4 linked regions of the Caenorhabditis elegans genome follow. The protein of the gene in region 4 interacts with the protein of the main gene of each other region in a pairwise test. Each region holds a gene or a part of one and is shown on either strand. Other genes may lie near its edges. The genes, in order: pnp-1, cbl-1, ZC15.3 and cla-1.

What was found.
Region 1: the proteins of cla-1 (region 4) and pnp-1 interact in a two-hybrid assay, tested with the Caenorhabditis elegans proteins (one large-scale study listed by BioGRID).
Region 2: the proteins of cla-1 (region 4) and cbl-1 interact in a two-hybrid assay, tested with the Caenorhabditis elegans proteins (one large-scale study listed by BioGRID).
Region 3: the proteins of cla-1 (region 4) and ZC15.3 interact in a two-hybrid assay, tested with the Caenorhabditis elegans proteins (one large-scale study listed by BioGRID).

The regions. Positions count from the first base shown.
Region 1 is NC_003282.8:292,236-300,164, forward strand, and holds pnp-1 (Purine nucleoside phosphorylase), read right to left. Parts: upstream 6,046-7,929; coding exon 6,026-6,045; intron 2,442-6,025; coding exon 2,358-2,441; intron 1,883-2,357; coding exon 1,594-1,882; intron 1,455-1,593; coding exon 1,228-1,454; intron 1,179-1,227; coding exon 1,082-1,178; intron 651-1,081; coding exon 411-650; downstream 1-410.
Region 2 is NC_003279.8:9,325,937-9,331,455, reverse strand, and holds cbl-1 (plant cystathionine gamma-synthase), read right to left. Parts: upstream 3,600-5,519; coding exon 3,484-3,599; intron 3,439-3,483; coding exon 3,382-3,438; intron 3,050-3,381; exon of another isoform or gene 2,966-3,049; intron 2,830-2,965; exon of another isoform or gene 2,751-2,829; intron 2,682-2,750; coding exon 2,147-2,681; intron 2,077-2,146; coding exon 1,991-2,076; intron 1,614-1,990; coding exon 1,502-1,613; intron 1,453-1,501; coding exon 1,207-1,452; intron 1,160-1,206; coding exon 1,020-1,159; intron 796-1,019; coding exon 732-795; 3' UTR 528-731; downstream 1-527. Other genes in the region: uggt-2 (UDP-glucose:Glycoprotein Glucosyltransferase), read right to left, coding at 4,295-4,444, 4,522-4,728, 5,052-5,178, 5,227-5,351, 5,398-5,519.
Region 3 is NC_003283.11:20,302,017-20,305,432, reverse strand, and holds ZC15.3 (CCHC-type domain-containing protein), read right to left. Parts: upstream 1,846-3,416; 5' UTR 1,814-1,845; coding exon 1,585-1,813; intron 1,531-1,584; coding exon 1,088-1,530; intron 1,033-1,087; coding exon 736-1,032; intron 689-735; coding exon 626-688; 3' UTR 525-625; downstream 1-524.
Region 4 is NC_003282.8:7,608,836-7,613,724, reverse strand, and holds the start of cla-1 (Protein clarinet), read right to left. Parts: upstream 3,046-4,889; coding exon 2,963-3,045; intron 2,890-2,962; coding exon 2,828-2,889; intron 2,450-2,827; coding exon 2,381-2,449; intron 2,287-2,380; coding exon 1,973-2,286; intron 1,083-1,972; coding exon 1,038-1,082; intron 766-1,037; coding exon 716-765; intron 671-715; coding exon 623-670; intron 503-622; coding exon 86-502; intron 1-85. UniProt on the Caenorhabditis elegans protein: Required for synapse development in the active zone of presynaptic terminals of specific neurons including serotonergic NSM neurons.

The sequences.
Region 1 (7,929 bases), 7.3 Mb from region 4:
TCATGAATTTTAATGTAGACCTTTCCATTTGACATCTGGAGGGCGCACTTGTAGGACACACGAAAAGTTTTAGAAGTTGCTTATATGAAGGTCCTTTTTCGAATAACGTAGCTTCTGTATGGTATGGGTGTCAAAATTTATGCCCAAATGATGTCCATGTTGAGCGATCACTATGAAAACCAGCAACTTAAAAATTTCAATATGATTTTTATATGATAAATCGGCCAAAAGGTATAAACATACAATTGTACATATTGTCGGTTATTCTATTCGATCAGATGCTATACTTTGTGGGGCGATGTGCGCCTTTAAAAGGCTAAAAAAGAATGAGTAAGTGAAATGGAAGAAGAGAATCGAGTGAAATCAAGAGAATGAAAGCAGGTTATATCATAAAAGATCAAGGAACACATTTAGAGAGTAATCTCCGTAATGATATCCGACACAAAACGGGATGCTCGTTCACCGGCTTGTTGCGCGATATCCATAACTTCTTCATGTGACACTTCGACTGATGCATCTGCATCCAAGTTTGCAATATTGGTAATAAGAGAGAAACCAAGGACCTTAATTCCACACTGACGAGCTACGGTAACCTCGTGGCAAGTTGACATTCCGAGTGCGTCGGCTCCGACTGTTTTGAAGAGTGATACCTGGAAAATTGAGTTCGAGTTTGAGCACACTCCATTATTATGGCACCCCAGGGCTTTCTTCAAAAGTTCTCTTCAAATCTCTTTCATACGAATTGTCTACGGCTATGATTGAGTTTTACTTTTTCAGCTGAAGAAAGTTGAACTGGAATTTCGACAGTGTCACTAAGACCAAAAAATCAAACTTCCGAAGGAAACGCTTCACTACTCTATCTTATCAAACCAGTGTATAGTATGAAATAGCCTTGAATAGGCATTTATGAATACGCTAAAGCAAAAGTCACGTGGTTTCTCTCAACGGTTTTTCAAATTCTCAGGATCAATTAAAATGGCTTATGAACGTCTACTCTTTGACCAAATGATGCCTAGTTATTTTGAACTATACATATGTTTTTTCAGTGTACCATCAAAGTTTCTGAAAAAAAGATTTTTACCTCAGCTGGTGACTCGTATTGTGGTCCACCGGACATCACATAGACACCCTCGTACAACGTCATATCACTACGACGGCCAACATCAATGGCGAGTTGTCTGGAAGAGTTTAGTTAATGGAACAATTTTTCTCAAAAGTTACCCTCACCTAAGCTGCTTATCATAGGCATCATGAACCGATACAAATCGGGCTCCAAATCTGGGATCGTTGCATCCGACAAGTGGAGAGAATCCGGCAAGGGCCGGAAGGAAAATATGATCCTTGATGAGCATCAAGTCTCCGTGTCTCAACACGGCATTGATACCTCCCGCTGCGTTGGAGACAATCATGATCTTGATACCAAGCTGGTGCATTACACGGACTGGGAGGGTGCACTAAAATGGGCAAAGTTACCGAAACATTTTCGTGCAAGCTTTTTTTTCAGGCTATTTTTAGCATTATAAGAAGCCAAATTCAAGCTCAATACCTGTTTATGCCCCTTAAATTTTTAAATTCCTAACTTCTTCTACTCACCAAAGCCAAATCCATATTATGCTCGTATGGGTGAAATCTTCCTTGCAAACACACAACCTTCTTTCCTCCTAGCTTTCCAAAAATCATGTTTCCTTTGTGCCCAACGACATGGGTTGTTGGAAATCCTGGAATCTTTGAGTACGGAAGGATAGTGGCGTCTTGAACAGTGTCTCCGATTGGTCCAAGACCGGATCCGCAGATGATTCCGAGGTCGGCTCGGGCAACATCTTCTCCTACTTGCTCTCTGATTGAGGCGGCCACCGAGAGCACATCGTCGTAGTTTCTGGGGCTGAAATAAGGACTGTTTGATCTTTCTTCTGCTATCATGTCATATCGAAAATCAGAACTTCAAGTTCCAATCATTTCTGATTAAAAAACGGTTTAAAATCGAAAGCTGTTAAGTTTGAAGCTTTTCGCCTCATGTGTCTTATCAGTGATAACATGCGATGCGCTAAACGTGCACAGAACATCTTTTGAGAAAAAAAATTTTGAGTGGTACTCACAAGATTTATAGGTGTTAAACTAGAGACTACTATTCAATCTACATTGAAAAATGTAACGACAACCGAATGCGGTTTTCCAAATTTCACCTCACGAGTTTTCAACTTTGTGGATACCTATTGGATTTAGTGTGGAAACTTAAGAAAAATACACTTTTAAAACAAACTGTTGCTACGCGGCTTTAATAAGTAAATGAATAAATTCAACGTGGGTCTTTCACGTCTTCCTTATATTCCTAGAGTATAGGTTCCACTCAAACTCACTCAATTTTCTGATTGTGCTCCGCAGCGTTGGTTGGTGAATTGTTGTTCTCCATGGCTGGTGATAGTGAAGTAGAAGTGGTGAGTCTGCAATTTTGAATAAGATCATAAAAGTTCTAGTCCGAAGAAAACATTTCGGACGCCAACAAAACAATATATGAGAAGGCTACAAAAACAGTTTTATTATGTACTGTTGGAGGGGGCTGGTGAATACTGAGACTGGTGGAGGGTTCTAGAGAAAACACAGAGATAGGAAATCATGATCGTTTTTCTCGTTGCCCATTTATTTTTCATTGAAAAATCTCACGAGGTCTTAGGAATATCAAGTACCCGGAAGGGAGACGCTTGTGGGTTTGGGCAGGGGTGGCCTTTCAAAAGTTAATGGTTTTGGGGTGGGTGTTGTCCAAGAAAAGTTGGAGATTTGAAACATTAGTTTGAGGAGTTGAATGAAAAACTGTCACATGGCTACTTTCAAATCACATTAGGCATAGATAACGCCACGTGGAAGCCAATGAAATCAAAAAGCAATCATACTACATTCAAATCCAAACCCATAACTTAAATCGTTAAATAAGATCGCCCAGTTGAAGCTGGATTTTAAGGGATCTTTGCCACATGGCAGGTAAATTGGACTAAAACTGTTACGGGATACGTTTTTTCTTGTTGCTTCAAAATTCGAATTGTGCCTAATAATATACAACACTTTGAACATGCATTTTTATTTCTCGCTTCTTTCTCACTTATCCCATTAATCTCAATCATTTAAAGTTTTTATGAGTTCTTCTGATAAAAGTGTTTTGCTCTTGATATTGCAAAAAAATAATTTCAACTTGACATCATCGAAAAAAAGAATAAAATTGTTCACTCTTTTGCTCAAAAAAAAATTGAGCAATAATTACACTTGCAGTCCCTGGCAGAATTGCGTTTCTATTAATATTGCTGACAACATGAAAAAAAGATAGCTCAGATTTGATTTTAGCGCTTTTTGAGAATTTAATTATTCCTCAAAATACTTCCAACTATAAAAGAATAATAGCTAGCTTGTCGACTATGCATCGAAATCAAGAAGACAGTCATCATAATGACAAATGTAAATCGTGAAACTTCCCACGTTTCAACCTAGAGCGAACCTGGAGCGCGCGCGTGGGGTAAAGAGGTTGGGAGAAATGAATGTGACTCTGTCCACATCAACCTTCCAATCACTGATAACAATGTGCTCTCTCTTTCTAACCTAATGATAATAATAAATGGGCGGTTCACTGGCGAAGAGCACACAGCGAGAATAACTATTTTTTTTAGCTGATTCAGTGATCATTTCCGAGAATTCAAAGGTTTTATGACCCAGAAACGGCTAGTTCTCGAGAAATTCGCATAACTGATAAAATGAAAAAACGTGCCGTTAAATTTGAATGCTCCGAAAGGAACAAAAAGAAGTGTTGGGTATCAAAGTGTCGCGTGATAAAAATTTAAAGAAGGAACATGCAGAGACAGGTGACACAATCTAACAACAGACTGATATCAACAGTACGTGGGCCCTAGACTAACCTCGTGACTATTACGTACGGAATTGTAGATCAAAGTGACACTATTTTGGGTGCGAGTAGAGTCGCTTAAAAAAAGGTATTTAGAATTCCAACGTTCATGTAACAAATTAGTGTTAGAATATTGGAGTTATGATGGTGTTGAAAATTATAGTTTCTGCCACCATGTAGATTTTTTTCTTTAAAATAATATCAAGTTAGTATGATAATGTAAAAATTTAAAACAAAATTGAAAAGTCAGAACGACTGAAATTTACTCATCTTTAATGTACAATTTATAGTAATCAGTTTAGTAATCATGTTTTGAAAACAATGATTGAAACATGAAAAAAAAACATGAGGAATTTATAAAAAATTACGCACTGGTTGTTAGGTATTTGATTCATTGTATGAAGTAAACAAGGTAAACAATTCCGCCTCCAAAAATAGGCACATACCTGTGTTTCTGCCTATTGCCCAGGCTCTGATTTTTATGTGAACACTTAGTAAAGATTTTATGAAATTTCAATAAATTTCATATATGTTCCGAAAAATTCAGCCATATTAGAATGCATTTTTTTTAGTATGCGAGGGAAGAAGTGACATACATTGTCAAACACTCAATAGATGTTATTCAATTTTTGCAACGTATCGTTTTACTGTTGAAAAGCAGTTTTTCAAAGTTCCACTACAAAAGTAGACAAAATAATTCTTTTCTGAAAATCTCAATCGATATCTAAATTTTTATTAAAAATTACATCAGAATTTGATTCTCTCCGAATCAAAACTGATAACACAATTGCGGGAAAATTTAGGTGGGGAAAAACTGAAAAGTATTCCTGCCGCTACAGTTGTAAAATCAAAAGTAACACAATTTTTATCAATTTTTCTAATCATTTATCAAAATGTCGTCATCATTTTTTGTGACCACGTGACACTGGAAAATTGAAAATTTTCCCCTATTCGACTTGTTTATGACAGTTTTGGGAAAAGGGAATTATGTTAAGACGATTAGGGGTAAATAATCAGGAAAAAAGAAACTCGGGCAGAAACATCCGTTTTTAAAACTGAAAATAAGCTGGAAATTTTTGAGTGTCATTTGAAATTCAAATTTGAAATTATAATAATTTTTCGATTGTGAAAAGAAAATGAAAAAACATAGTTGGAAAATTGATGATTGTGTAAAGATACCTTACTCTAAACAGCCCAAGTTTCAATATTGAAATCTTCAGTGCATTTTTTCACTACTTTCGCAGCATGTAAAAATTCACTAAAAACTGTTTTTGTAAAGTTTTTAAGGTAAACGTTCTGGAAAATTAAATTTGCAATGTTTTTTTATCTGAACATTTTTTGATCGGGTTGATCGAATCGGTTTTTTACAAAATTTTAACATTTCCAAAAGTCTTCTACTCCTTGAAACACCGTAAAACATAACATCTTATAAAAAAAGGATGTTACTTCCCAAATTTGAAATTCGGATAGTTTTTTAGGACGGCGGTAAATGACTCCTCAAATGTAGATATTGCCTTATGCCTACAGGTGTTTCATTTTAAAGTATAAATGATTTTTTTCCTATGTAAATTTCCAGAAAACAATAAAACTCCAAACATAAAATCGGCATTGAAATAATTAATCAAATGTCCAACATAGCAGAACGATAATACAAACAGATTCAATCAAATTTCCCATTTTTATTATACTCAAAAAATAAAATACTCGGTTAATACTATACTGAAATTTAGGATCTTTTTCAATTTGGCGCGTGGCGCAAGATGCTTTTTAAATACTAAAAAACTGCTGTTTGAAAATTAAATACAGAAATTTAAAAAAAAACATATATTTTTTTAAACAGTACTAAAAATTGGTTTTAATAGAGCAATTTTGTACACCCATGAGTTATTAAAAATATAGATCTACATTAAAAAAGAAAATGACTCGACTTAAATGCACTTGAAATGAAATAATTTTTCGATACGGATGGCTGATTTTTTATCGGCAAAAAAAAAACAAAATTGACATGATAATTGACTGAAAAGTGTGTTTTATTGGAGATAATTGGTGTCAACCATAATGTTGAACTTTTGAGACTACAAACTACACACGTTTCAGGAAACCAGAATACAGGTAAAAATATCAGAAAAAATCACAAACTTTTGAGTGCAGTTTCCCATTGTTTGAAGAAAAATCGAGCAAAGAAGCGAGTAATCGGAAGAAATGATTTTTAATAAACCCAATAAAATTTGCAAAAAAAATTTTCACGTTCAAATGATTTTGAATTAAAAAATTTTTTGCAAATTAGATTCTATTTTATGAAATTCACTGATGTGATTTTTTAAATATCGGAGATTTTTTAGTTTTTTTAAGTTGTGAAATATTTTTGTGAATATTCCAAATAATTACAGCTTAAAAGTAAAGACTTGACCCATTTTTGTCTTAGATCTCCAAGTTTTCACTAAGTTTTTTATTGTTACTGGTTCTGAAAAGCAAAAAACACTAATTTGAGTTTAAATAGCACTGTAAAATTTTTTTTTCAATAAAATAAAGAAGACCAAGATCCGAGCAGCCTATATTGAGCTACACTAATACTATATCAAATTTTTTGTAATTTTTCAACTTTGCTTACCTTTTCTAATCTATCTCGTTTACGTACTGCCTTTTGATTTACTTTTATAAAAATCTTGTGAACCGTTTTCTTCATATTATCCCCTAACTATCAACCACCTGCAGTACTTTTTAGTGTTATGTTTTTTGCATGTTTTTTGTACAGAAACGAGAGGACGACGAACAAAAGTTGTATGTGGTTATCATTTGGTTTTTTATTTCATTCCATACCATTCAATCAATCATTCAGTCTCATCTCTCTCCCATATTCCCAATATTGACAACACTAGTCATCCCAGTAGTCAGTGACGATGATATGGTCAACTACTTCTACTTGAATGAGACAACGGAAACACGCGGAAAATAGTGCTGAAACTGGAGAGATTTGGAACCGAAGAGAACCTGTTGGAGAAGAATGAATGTCTGGAGGCCGAGATTTTTGAAGAATTCATTGAAAATTGCGGACATTTTGAAAATGTTAGCCAGCTGATACAGTTGGAAAAGCATAAGGCACACAAATTTGGAAAATTTTAGGAATAGTGAATTGATGACGTCCACGGGGCAAAGCTAAACTATCATTGGTTTTCACAAAAATTGTCAACAAAAAGGATAACTATTACCAGGTTCCAAATAGCATTCAAGCTAAAAATTAACTCTTATCTAATCGTTCTCATGGTATAAACTTCTAAATTTGGAGCGCGGGGCTAGAGGAGACTCGGTTCGTCAGGTCATACGTGACGACTATGCTAAATCATATCACAGGCTCTGACAGATGAAATTTTTCAACAAAAAAAATGGAATTTGTATCACATTTTATGATCAAAAATTAACATTCCCACTTCACATCACTTTTGTAATTCACTAACTAAGTTGCGACTAAAGTGATATATTCTGAATAAATTTCTAACTACACTATCCCTCTACAGGACCTCAATTTAAGCCACGTGACAGCTTGTCGACGATCTCAAAATTCTTATTACAGGTATAGTATGATTCTACCGGAATGAAATTGTTTGCCAGATAGCTCCCGAGTGTGTTAATCTTTAGTGAACGTATCCAAGGTGACCTGAAAATGCACTCACTACCTTCTGTTCATATTGGATGAGACAATTGAAAAACAAAAAAAGTATTATTTTCGGAAAAACCCCTACATAAATCGCGCGGTGCGTGATCTCTCAACTATACCTTTTATCATATTTTGATAGACATTGCCACGTTCATTGACATTCGGCGTTACTTCCTGGATCTTTGTTTTTAAACTAGCATAATATTTAGGTATTTGTGGATACAAGACCTAGCAAAAAAATCACGCATTACCACGGTTATCAAAAGTCAAAATAAGCAACACCTCCCATTGTACTAATGAAATAACTTATTTTCGGTTTTTGGTTCATTTTTAACATGCTTTGTGTTGTTTAAATAAGTTTTACTACAGTTTAAAACAGTAAAGGCGT
Region 2 (5,519 bases), on a different chromosome or scaffold from region 4:
ACAGAATCTATTGAGAGAATATTACAGAAAGAGAGATAAGAGGTATGAGAATATGATAACGACAAAAATATCTTTTGTTTTTTCAAAGTCCATATTTCATTATTTTTTAATTTTTGGAAAGTTTTGCAACAGATTTTTTTTCAATTTGTTGACAAAACCAAAAATTACAAAAAAAGATAAACATTTGTCGACGTCCTTGAAACAAAATTGAAACTTGGAAAATTTTGCTAATTAGCAAGCAACGAAAATGTTTTTTTTTGTTTCTCCGAGTTCTTAATCGCGCGGTTTTTTTTTGCAGAAAAGTATAAGATTTTTTCTAAATTCCAATCTCCAGTTTTCCTGATAGTGATTGCCATTTTCAATGTGCACTTCTACTAAAGAATCAATGATCTCTAAGCAATATAATTTCCTTTTGAGATACATTCAATATTATCAAGTTCTTAATCGTTTCACTAGTGATAGAATCATCTTGTTTCCTGTCAATAGATATCATGTCAATTAATCTCTAATTCTCTACATTTTCTATTGTATATCATCTTTTTTATTTAGGAGAAGTACAATAAATCACTGATTGCAATTCATTTGTTACAAAAGTGAGACGGCACAAGCGATGATTTTTCTGAACTTTTATAGAATATCTATAGACTTTTGACAATAATCTGAAAAAAAACTGAAAAAAGAAGTTATTAATTTTTTAAAGAGAAATGATTTCGAAATGTTGAAGAAATTGCTCAAAGCTTCTCGAGGGCATCATTCAAATCTCCAATAATATCCTCCACATTTTCAATGCCAACGCTGCAAAAATTATTAAATTGTAGTTTCTAATAATTTACTCCTATTTAAGTTATTTTTAAAAAATGTTTTTAACTGGAAAAAATAAAATGGCCAAAACAATTTTAAGGGAGCACTTTCGAATTGAAAATCGGATATTGTCAAAATTGCCGATAGAAAGTTTCTGTTATGTACTTTAAATAGAATTTAAATACAAAAGTTTTGATTCAGAAGAACTCAGAGCGTACCTAAATCGGAGAAGTCCAGGGGCAACAGTCGGACCATCCAAATATCGAAGTAAATGTTTACCATGAGACATTGACAGAGGATGTTCGATTAAAGATTCAGTACCACCAAGAGATACTGCATGAATGATTAGTTTAAGACTCTGGAATAATAATTCTTCAGAATTTTCATTTAGATTAATAAACTAGCCTCAACAAGCTTGATTGCATTTTCAGCAGTTCCAACATCAAATGCAATCATTCCAGCAAATTGTTTCATTACTTGTTTAGCATATTGATGCTGTGGGTGGGATGGAAGTCCTGGATAAAAGACACGTTCAACTTTTGGATGGGATTCTAGAAATTCTGCAGTTTTCTGAGCATTTTCTGAAATCCTATCAACTCGCAATCCAAGAGTTTTGAGACCTCTGGTCAACAGGGCAGCGTCGTATGGACTCTGCAAGTTTCAAGTTTTTTGTTTTTTTTTCTACTCAGAAACTGCTTACCAAAGAACTTCCAGTCGTCAATTGTTGAAGTTTAAGTTTTTTCCAATTATCATAAGATGATACTGTAACAACTCCAGCAATCACATCCGTATGTCCTCCAATGTATTTTGAGCTGCAATTCTTTTCGAATTTTATTTACGAAAAAATCAGTGGGAGTTTTGTAAAATCAAATTTATTGTAGTTCAGTATGAGCACCTAACACTGCAAAATGTTTAAATTGTTCAAAGTTTCCAGTCAAAGTTCTGGTTACTTGCCAAAATTTCAAAAACTGGAAGCTTTTTACTAAAGTCTTTTACTTGGACATTTCAACACTATAGGAGATGATTCAAATCATTTCCTTACTGATGCTTCTCCTTCGACGCTTTTAAAAGAATGGAAAGTTTTACTTTAAAATTAATGTGGCCTAGACAAATTTTCAACTGCCAATCTCCGTTTTATTTTTGAGACTCGATCCACCTATGAATTAAATTTTGGAATAACTAGTCTTACCAGCTATGAAGACTGATGTCTGCTCCAAGTTTCAGTGGTTGAATGTTGTATGGAGATGAGAAAGTTGCATCAAGACATGTAAGAATCTGAAAAACAGTAAAATTAATAGATTACTTGAATAATTAATCTAGCTCTCTTAATCGTATATTTTTTAACCTTATATTTCTTTGCCACTTCAATTGTTCCCAAAATATCTGGAACTGCCATCGTTGGATTGGCAATTGATTCAAAGTAAATCATCTTAGTATTTGGCCGAATTGCTTTTTCAACAGCTCCAGCAAAATCCTTTTCTTTTTCAACGTCAACAGAAGTTATTTCAACTCCAAAACGAGCCAATGTCTCATTAATAAATGATGATGTACCACTATAAATTGGGTTCATAACAATCATATGAGCACCGGAACTCAGAAATTCCAGAAAAACTGCACTAATCGCTGCAAGACCCGAGTTGTATAGGAGGGATCCTGCACCGCCTTCTATCTCATTAATCACAACTTCCACATTTTCAGTTGTTGGATTTCCGCATCGACGATATACAAAGTTGGCACCGTGATTGTCTTCATTGAATTGATCAACTGTTTTGAAACGATAAGTACTTGAATGATAAATTGGAACAACTACTGGATCAGCATTTGAAAGTGGTTTTGCATGAGATGTTGAAATTCGACTGTCCAAGTGGAGACTTTCAAATCTGATTAAAAGGATATGTGAAAACAATTCCGTTACTAACAAAACTTTTTTTATACATTCAAAAAAGTTTGATCTGCGTTCGGGGGGAATCGAACCCCCGTCGAATGCTTGGAAGGCATCCATGCTGACCATTACACCACGAACGCGGTGATTTGATGAAAATAGATATAAAAAAGAAGAAAACATAAATATATGTACGATTTTATCGGGATTTATAGGGATACATAGTCGGAAAATCAAGTTCCCGTCTTTTAAATACCCTTTCCATCATTTCTTTATAAAACCACCGCGTTCGTGGTGTAATGGTCAGCATGGATGCCTTCCAAGCATTCGACGGGGGTTCGATTCCCCCCGAACGCAGATTGTTTTATTTTTTAAAGTTTTACCAGAACACCCTTGCCCTAGAACACATTTGCTGGCAAACTCTGCATAGGAGAAACACATATACCTATCGCAACTTGTGGTTCAATCTCCAGGTTTTTTAATTTCACGCCAGAATGCATTATTTAGACGAGGAGGCCGGTAGGTTTCAGGCTGTCACAGGCCTTGAAACCGTGCCTACCTCTGATGGATGCGCTACAGTAGTCAATTAAACATTGAAAAATAAAAAATGCAACGAAACTGAAAATTACGATGCCTAAAAAACCTAGTTTTTACTTTAGAAAATGACCGGGGAACTCCTTGAAATTCAGTAAACTCACTTTTCTCCCAAACGTTCTCTTGCCTCGTTATTTCCAGCTGGCCAGTTGAAACTGTCACTAAAAGAATTTCAACTATACGAGAATATCAGTGTGGACACTTACCTCATTGTGTCCAACAGCAAATAGAACTGAAATGTGATTACAAATGAAATGTATTTATCAGTTCTCCAATAATCTCTCGCTGATGCAAGATCAGATAGATTATCAGTTCTTATCATTAGTTAGTCTCCACATGATGACTTTAAAATTATCAGTGTTTTGTTAGTTTGGTTTTGGTAAATTTTCAACGAAATGTAGAGGTAAAATTTGCCAGCAAAGTTTATTCAACTTCATTCTTCTTGTAAAACTTTTCAAAATAAAACAATCTGCGTTCGGGGGGAATCGAACCCCCGTCGAATGCTTGGAAGGCATCCATGCTGACCATTACACCACGAACGCGGCGATTATGTGAAGAAAGGATGGAAAAGGTATTTAAAAGACGGGAACTTGATTTTCCGACTATGCATCCCTATAAATCCCAATAAAATCGTACATATAAAGATATTTTATTCTTTTTATATCCATTTTCGTTACATCACCGCGTTCGTGGTGTAATGGTCAGCATGGATGCCTTCCAAGCATTCGACGGGGGTTCGATTCCCCCCGAACGCAGATTATTTTATTTTGAAAAGCTTTACAAGAACATCTTGAAGTTGAATAAATCCCCCCGAAAGCAGAGGTAATTTTGGAATTGTTGAAACATTGTTACTGGATTGCTTAAAGCCATGGGTTTTCTAGCCGTCCTTCCTCCTTGTATAAGCTCATAAAATATTTATTCATATTCATTCAAGTAATACAATTTTTAACACAATTGTGATAATTCGGATACAGTTTAAGAAACAAAAAATTCAAATAATGAAAAAATACAGGAAAATCATAATTCATCTCGATCCACTGATGGTGATGGAGTGTTGATATCTGCAGAATTCAAAACTTTCGAAATTTCTGAATCGTATTCTGTCCATTCTTTGATAATACGTTTTGCCGAGTTCAGTTTTGGTTCTTTTGTCAGTGGATTGTTGCACTGAAATACATTTTTTAAAAATATTTTTTAAAAATATTGGTTTAACACAAAAAGTGCTTAAAAGTATTAAATCTCACCAAGTCAATTGTTTTTGCCTTTTCTTTACTTCCATCATCACACCATGTCTCACACCAAAGCCATTCCTGAGGTAATGATTTAATAGGAACTTCGTGAAGCATGTTGTTCGGAAGATCTTGATCCAAATTCGAAAGACTGTTCGGATCAGCAGATAGGCTGTCGTACCGACCACGAAGGCGGTCTCCAGCTGAGAACTCGCGGAACGCCTGAAAAATGTTGTATTATAAAAGAACATGCACGTTAGATAGGAAATGAAATTAATATTTTGTTACGAACAAGATTGTAAGCCTTGTAAGAGTACGGTAGTTTCTACTTGATTCTACTTCGTTTTCTTCAATTATTTCACTTTTTTTTGTATAAGATCCATTTTTCTACTACTTCGTTTTCCACGACTTAAATTGTAAAACAACGAAGTCTGGAAGCTACTGTAATTCTTCAAAGGCGCACAGTTTTTCACAGCTTCCTTTAAAAATATACAAACTTTTCGAAACCCAATTTCCCGTAATCCACAAAATTAATCCTTATATACCTTAAGATCAACAACATAAAGTGCACTAATATGATATTTTCGCCCCATCAAATGATTCTTCCAATATCCACTTTTCCAAAATCGGAATCCATCCATCTCTGTTCGACTCTCACAAAATGGAACATATCTGAATGAATAATAACAGTTAATTGGGTTCTTATATTGTAATTCTTACCCATAAGGAGCCCCATTTAAATTGAAATCCATCAATTCTTGTAAATCAGCTCGAACAACTTGATCGGCATCTACGAAGATGATTTTATCCACATTTAGAGGAAATAAAACATCCAAAAATAGAATCTGAAAAGTTTCAAGTGTGATTATCCAAAATTCTAATAAGATTTACCTTGTATCCCCACATAACTCTTTGTTTTTCCGTTTGTTTATGCAACCATTTTGGCCATTTGTACTCGACAAGCTCGAATTCAAACTTATAGAATTCCGCCAATTTGGGAATCGTTTCTTTGA
Region 3 (3,416 bases), on a different chromosome or scaffold from region 4:
TCTGTCCTGATTCGGAGCAATAGAGCGATGTCATTGGGGGATTGTACGACACGCTGACATTAACTGTGAGTTAATGAGATGGTTGGTGTCCTGATCTCCGAGTTGTGAATGGGGCTCTTTGATCAGGTTGGGGCTGCGAGTTTCGACCCCGTTGCTTGAAGCTCTGACCTAAAGGGTATGGGCTGTCAGGTCCTTAGGCGCTGCGAATAAATGTGCTTCGCGGAGTTAGCGCTTCTTTTCCGAAAGTTGCAGGTATTAGTGCAGTTGTAGAGCGGGCGGTGGTGATTAGCGCCGGCTTAGAGGTATCTGCGTCTCTATCTCCTATCCGTGGGGGTTTTGAGCTGGATTAATTTTTCCGAGTGGATCCCTTTCTCTATGTTTTGAAAATATCTCGTGAGTGAGTGACTCTTGAACGGATAAATGAGGTGATAATTGAAGAAGTTCGACGATGAGGCTTTATTTAGATAAGATCCCATGAATGGGCAGCCAAAAGAACAATAACAACAGTAACAATGGTAAGTGGCTTGGCCACAATAACAACGGGTTTAATCCAACAACGGGAATGATAATGAGGAGGGGGCAGCGAGTATGCAGAAGCTTAATGGTAGCTGTCTCTGCGGCGTCCTCAGCCTCCATAGCGGTTGTGGCGGGAACGAATTGGTCCTCTGCGGCCTTTTGGCGAGTAATCCTGAAATGTTACTGTTCTGTTTCGTTGTGTCGTGAGGATACGCTTACACGATCGGATGGGGATCCCTTGCGCTCGAGCTTGTACTGCTTCGAGGTGAGCATTAGGCAGAATGTGGCGTTGTGGTGAGTCTGGGCGATTTCTCCTGGCTTCATGTATTTGGTGCATCTGGTGCACTGCTCCTTCTCCTTTGGGCAGCCTTCGTGGACCCAATCGTCATTTGTCACGCCGACTTCGAGGCATTGAATGCACATTTTGATCTTTTCGGCTTCCTCGCGACGATCGAGTCCATTTCTTATAATGGTGCAGTTTTCCGGAGCGTGATGACGCTTGCACAGTGGGCACTTCTGTAATATTCATGAGCATATTCTACCCTGACATAGGAGAAAATATAAGTCTCACCAGCGCTGGCTCCAACGATCCCTGTCCTCCTTGTGGGGTGTGGCGCTCGGCTTGCTTTTGGGCAGCCTGTTCCTCACGAGCGTCGATTTTGGCGATGGTTTCGCTCATCGTCTTCATGTTGGTGGCGACCTGAGCGATGTCGTAAATGATCCTGTCTCTCGCTTTGGAGGCCATACGATTGTCCTCGGCTTGTTGAGTTCGCTGCTCCTGGACGTTGGCAGACATCATGTCCGCGCGCTGGAACATTCCTGAGACCTTTTGGGCATAAGTATCCACATTCTTTTCGGCCAAGGCGTGATCCGCCTTCAGCTTCACTATCTCGTCGCTGAAGGAGTTGACCGCCATGTCGAGTTGCTCGTTGAATCTCCCGAGCTGATCAGCCAGTTGATCGGCCATTTCCTTTTTGACTTGGTTGAAGAGTGGCTTGATGGCTTGTAAGAGCTCTGAAACGGAGGGTTTATCAATTTTAGCCTGCATAATTAGTTTTTTCTCCTCACCATCGGCTGGGTCTTGAGCCGTCTTGCGTTTCTTGGTGGTGGGGGCAGCCTCAAATTTGTCGCGGAGTGACATGCGATCCTGGGCTTTTGGGGCTTTCTTGGGCGGCGATTTTCCTCCTCCGGAGCTTCTCTCTTCCTCGTCCTTTCTGGCATACTTGAACGGCGTGTACGGCGTATGTCTCGGATCTTCGTAGACCAATAGTGGAGATTCACTTTCTTCGCGGGGCATGATGGCAGTTCTGAATGAAGGAATGTTAGAGCGATTATGATTGAGCGAGAGTAGATATTATCACGGTAATTGCAACCGGTTTCCAATAACGTAAATGGCATGAATCAGTCAAAACAGAACATTTATAATGCGGGTGGTCAGCCGCGCCAACAAGACCAATCAACAATTAATTAGATTTAATCGGATGCTTCTCCCACGTCTTCGACGGCTTCTGCTTCGTCGTGGGCAGCCTCTTTATCCGGAGGGTATATGGGAAGAATGGTGATCCATTGGGTGTCTCGGAAGCTGTCGGTTCTCAGCAGTTCGACCAATTTTCGTCTGAATTCCGTGGTGGTGTTGACGGAGTATCGGAGACTGGATGCGGTCAATCTTGTCGACGTCCATATTGGTCTTGGCATCTCGGGCTCCGCGCCAACTCTGATGAAGTGTTGATCCACTGATGCAGTGATCTGAGCCACTGGTCCTTGGAGAGCGTGGGCAGCTCTTGCGATTTCCTTGCGTTTGGCCGTCACCGCTCCTGCGATATATGGAGCTTGCTCGACGACGTTTCCCTCTTTATGGAACGTGTTTCCTTCGGTCTTCTTGAAGAGGGCAGCCATTTCCGAATGCTGATAGTGGATGGTTACAAACGCGGCGATTTGCTTCGGTTGGGAATCGCTTTCCTTGAATTGAGCCTATAGATTGATGATAATCCGCTTGAAGGGACGTGGGCCGCTCTCTAGGATGAGATTGAGCTGGCGAGAGATGTGGGCTTGTTGCTCGAAGAGCTCGTCGACTCGATTGCCAATCGCGGTGATCTGGGTTCCGATGCGGGCCACAGTTGCTTCCAGTGGAGCCACAACGTTTGCGAGGGCGGCCGTGGGGGTGATGGAACCACTTCCTACAATCGAATTGGATTTTTATGAGAGTTTTCTATGAACTGTCATACCTGCGCTGGATACGCTTTCTTCTTCGTCGCTTTCGCTGGATGGTTGCTCTGGGGAATTGCTGGCTTCATAGTTGATGGGCGGCTGGGCTCTCGCGTGTGTCGCCGACATTTCTTCACAAGCCAGTTCCATTGCCAGTTCGAAATCCTGATCCATGCGTGGATTCCTGCCGGAAGAGTTGGAGGAGCTGCGGGCAGCCTCTAAAACAATAAAAATTGTTAGTCATTTCTTTATACTCTCGATATTAACCTGGCGAAAAGGTCCTCATGGCTGGCAATCTCGCGTTGGTGAAGAAGTCGGCGAAGCTTGATGCTTCTTCGCGGAGACGTCGGAAGCTCTCCCTTTGATCCTGAGCGCGTCGATCAGCGTTTTGTCTTTGCTCGTCGTCAGCTTGTTCTGCACTCATTCGTAGTCTGGCGTCCAGGACCGCCGCTAATGCCTGACGCTGTAGCGAGATGATTGACGCTGGTGTTGGAGCTCTGTCATCTCCTGAGCTTCTAGAAGCTGGGCAGCTGCAGGGCAGCGGAGGATTATCGTCGTCGGTGCTCTTGTTTGGCATGTCCAAGCGTGAGTGTGCTCGATCCTGGAAAATTGCAGACTTATTGTGGATAGGACGTCACAAAAGTGTAATAAATGAACGAGTGGAGCGAAGAAATGCGTGAAAATCCAGAAAAAAA
Region 4 (4,889 bases):
CCCAGAAATAATTTCAGTGAAATTTGAAGCATTCATTGTGTTTCATAATCTTAAAATTTTGGTGTCTCATTGTCGGCTAACTAACCTTGGTGGCATTGGTGGTGGGCCTCTTGCAATGGGTTTTCGCACATTCTGCATATCAGCTTCTGCCATAACTGCCATAATTTTCATTCTTTCATCATCTGACAAATCATCGAGTCCAGGTGGTAATTCGGACATTATACTTGAACTCATAACACTGGGAGATCTTGTTGGAATTTGACTTGAAGGAGGAGGGAAACGTGCGCCCATCTCCATTTCTGCATTTGCCATAACTGACATGATCTTTTCTCTTTCTGCTTCCGAAAGATCCTCCATTCCTGCTGGAATATTTGATGAACCACTTGTGCTTGGTTTTACATTATTAACAGAATCGTCAAAGTCGGCTGCAGCCATAACTGACATGATTTGTCGACGTTCTTCTTCGGAAAGACCATCCATCGGAATACCGATTTGTGGAGAGCTGTAATTTCAAAATTAACCATTTAGGAAATGAAAATCAAAAGAAAAAAGAAGAGGGGAGGTAGAAAAGTGTACGTGCGGGGAGTAATCTGATATACTGGGAATGTTTTATGTTACTTACGGAATAGATTTGGTTGGAGCACTGGTGCCTAGGGAGGTTGAGGATTTGCTGAAATTGTTTTTTTTATAGTTGACTTGACAAAATATCAATTACCTGCTAGAGAAGACATTGTTGTTGACAATATTTGATGATGAAGAGGATGGCTGAAAAGTTTTTATTATTTTGAGGTTATTTAATTTATTTCAAAAAAATTAATTTACAGAAGTAATGTTTAAAAACATTAGCCGTTTTGTGAATTAGTTAATTGTTTGTTTATAATATTAATACCAAAAGCAGTTTCTCAAAAAAAAGTAATCAATCAAGTGAAAAACTCGTGAGCGTTTAGTCATGAGATCTAGATCAAAATCGTGTTACCATAATTGAATTGGGTCGGAAGCCCTACGGAAAGAGAATAAAAAGAAAAAAGTTCACTCACCTTGATGGGTACGGCGGCTTGGATTTGCGAACCCGCTTCCTTTGCCTGCAAAAAGAGCAATTATCGAAAGTGACAAGGAGAGAAGAGCACACGCATGTCTTCTCGCAAAAAATTAATGAGGCATGGGGGTCCCCCGAGCCGAATCCTAAAGTGTTTCTTTTTGTTGCACACCCTACATTTATGCATAAGCGACACATACAACAAAACATAAAAAAGTGGAAAATAGACCAAAACGATGGGTACATCTTTTGGAATGGTGTATGTGTGACCGCTAAAAAAAAAAAAGAAAAAAGGAAGAACAAATGATTGTATAGTGTTTGTTGGATGAGGGAACAACACATTTGCGTTATTTTGGAAAGACCGGAAAGTCGAATTCCGTGAGTAACGAGCCCATCGTAGCTGCTCTTGGAGAGTCAAAGACACTGCGAAATTGGTTTTGTATACTGACATTGAAATGGTTTTTTTTTTTTGAAAATGAATTCATGTAATATATAAATTTGTGTGTATAAAAAACTACTCATATTCTCAAAATGTTGCATGTAAAAGTTAGTTATTTTTAAGAAAAAATGCTGATTGAAGAGTTTCTTAGATGTTAACATAATTTCTATGTTTTTTTTCTAGAAAACAGTAAATTTGAATATAACAGAAAAAAACAAATTGTTGCAACATAATATGTTCTACATTATTGGAAAATCATTTCAAATATCCATACCAAATATCATAATAAAACCTGTCAAACAATTTTGGACAATTATTTATTTTCAGTCAAACAGCTCTAAAAAAAATAACAATTTCTATAGTGACTGAAAATATTTTGAATAGCTTCGCGCATTTACAGTTTCAAAAACGTAGTCTTTTGAGTTTTAGTTTTTTGTTCATGGTCTTTTTTCAAACGGTGAAGTCTGATAGGTCATAGTGAATATTCAATTACTTACCTTATTAATAGCATCATTTGCAATATTAGAAAGGAAGCCGAAATTGGGTCGCTTCAACATACGACTACCCGGCAGTGAATCGATGGGTGTCTGCTGCGCCCTCAACGACTCTTCTCTCTGCGTCTCAAATCCATCATCAAAAGCCTCACGACTACTACTCTTCGTCTTCTCCTCCTCTTCGTAGTTCTCCAGTTTTTGCTGCTCCACGGCGTCGTCACCATATTTTCTCTTTTCCCCTTCACCAATCGATCTTCCGGTGCCAAAGAAGGCAGAAGAAGTGGTGGGCTCATGGTGTTGGCTCTCTACGTCAATACCTGCAAATATATGTTTTTTTGCTTTGAGATTTGGTCTCTTCGTCTCGCTTTTTGATTTGTGCTATGAATTTTTCATTTTTGACAGAAAACTCACCTTCAAGGAAGTGAAGTTGATCCTCAACATACTCCAATGGGAACTCTTCAACGTCAGTTCGAATTTCATCTGAAATTTCAAAAATAAAAAAGTAAATAGAGAAGAAAAATGTAATATTTGTATTACATAGGTCTAATGAAATTATATTCAGTCATTTCTTTTATTTGGACGTTTTTCTGAGTCAAAAACAGAGTGGATAGTGGAAAATTTTGAAAGTTCAGATAAAAGTCTGCTGATTGCAATTAGAATTGTTTTTTGTAGAATTAAGAATTAATTAAACACTCTTGTAAAATATTTTTGATAACATTTTATCTAGCTTTTGCTTTCTTTGCTGTAGAAATTCTCTTGTCGAGTAGAATTTGTTTTAGCAAATTATACTAGGTAGGTGAGTAGGCCTCTGTGTACCTACACTGAAGCGCATAAAAGTTTTTTTTTTAAACCACTTACGCCCCACATCTTCTTCCTCATCGTGGATCGATTGTCGCATGAAACTGAGTTGCTCCTCATACCTGAACAAAATAGTAAAATTGAAACACTAATTTTCAAAAAGAAAAAAAAAGGTTTATTAAAAATTCAGCATACCACTTTCCGATATCCGACTCGGACTCTTGCCTAATCTCTGATATACTTCTAATGTCGTATTCACTACTCTTCCGTGACGCCATCGAATCTGCTGATGGCGTCGGAGACACAGTCTGAAAATCATAAAATCCTGTTGGATAGTAGTGTTTAGTAGTCAAAAAAGGGGAAAAGTTGAAAATCTGGGAGTTGTCACGCTATCTGCATAATATTTAATGACACCGTTGCATTGCCACGGCATGCATAGCAACATGGTGAATGTGAAAAAAAAGTATTTATGGCTGGGAAAATAGAAACAGCTCGCACACAAAAAACAACGTCTATTTCTCACCTTCTGAGCCATAATAGGACCCTGGGGCTCTTCAGTTGTGTCAAGTGCAGCAGGAGATGTAACTCGATCTGGAGAGAAGCCGCTCGTTAGCACTTGAGCATTGTTGTTATCGAAGGAGCCGCTGGCGCCTGAACTTGCATCTTCTTGTTCATCGAATATATCAGCACCTGATGTTGCATCTGATCCACTTTCTGTTATTGGTTCTTCTTCTTCATCTTGAACTGGTTCAGCAGTGAATGGAGTGTTATAATCCATATCAGCCATCTCAGCAATTCTTGCAATATGGTCAAGCTCTTCTTGAGTGAGATCTTGCTCAAAGTGTTTAGAAGGAGGAGGAGGAGGTGGAGTCAACGAAACCTTATGAGTAATCGATCTTTGGGTGGCAGGAAGTTGGACATCTTGTGCAGCCATTGCAGTAATCTTTGCTATATGATCAAGTTCCTCTTGAGTTAGTTCTGGTGGTTCGAATATTTTTACAGGAACATCATATTCTGCTGATGCCATTTCAGCTATGCGAGCAATATGATCAAGTTCTTCCTGAGTAAGTGATGTCTCGGATGGTTTTCCTGTTGGAGGTGGTAGAGTACTGATGTCCATAGATGCCATTCCTGTGATCTTAGCGATATGATCAAGTTCTTCTTGAGTAAGTTCAGATTCAACTGGAGCAGGATGTTCAGAAACAATTGAAGGATACATTCCAAAGTCTTCATTTGCCATTGCAGCTATTCGAGTAATGTGATCTATTTCTTCTTGGGAGAGCTCCGGTTCATTTTGTTTAACTTGAGGAGTTGGTAGAGTTTGTAGATCAGTGTTATCTTCAGTAGCCATAGCTGTTATTCTTGCAATGTGATCAATTTCTTCTTGCGATAGAGTTGGTTCTTCAACATGATAATTAATTGGCACTGGCATTGTCGCAACTCGTTGCTCTTGTTGGATAAAGGGAGATGGCGCATTTAAATCTTCGGAAGCCATCGCCTCGATCCTTGCAATATGTTCTTTTTCTTCTTCCGTTAGTTCTATTTCAATTTGCTGTGTTGGATGTGTTGAAACGTATGGTGTATTAAAATCTTCTTCAGCCATTGCAGCGATTCTGGAAATATGTTCACGCTCTTCTTCAGAAAGTTCAATTTCAGACGGCTGCGCAAACACTGGAGTAGCTGTCGAAGCTGGGAATCTATCAATTGCACCATCGTCCCTACTATAATTTTCATCATAAATTGGCGCGACAGCTCCTTTAACAGGATGTGTAAAGTCCTCGTCAGCCATTGCAGCTATTCGAGCAATGTGATCCATTTCTTCCATTGAAAGTTCAATATCTTTTTGGATAATTGAAGGAGGAGGAACAATGATTTTAGATTGTGAATCATCCGCTGCCATAGCCTCAATACGAGCGATATGATCTTTCTCTGCTTGTGACAATCCTTGATTCATATTAACTGCGGGTTGTTCAAAGTCTTCCGCTGCCATAGCATTAATTCTGGCAATGTGATCTATTTCATCTTGTGTGAGCTCTTGCTTAGATTCTTGCTGAGCACTTTCAGTAGCCTGTGCAATGTTATCTAGCTCTTCTTGGGTTAGACCACTAAGAGATTGCTTTGA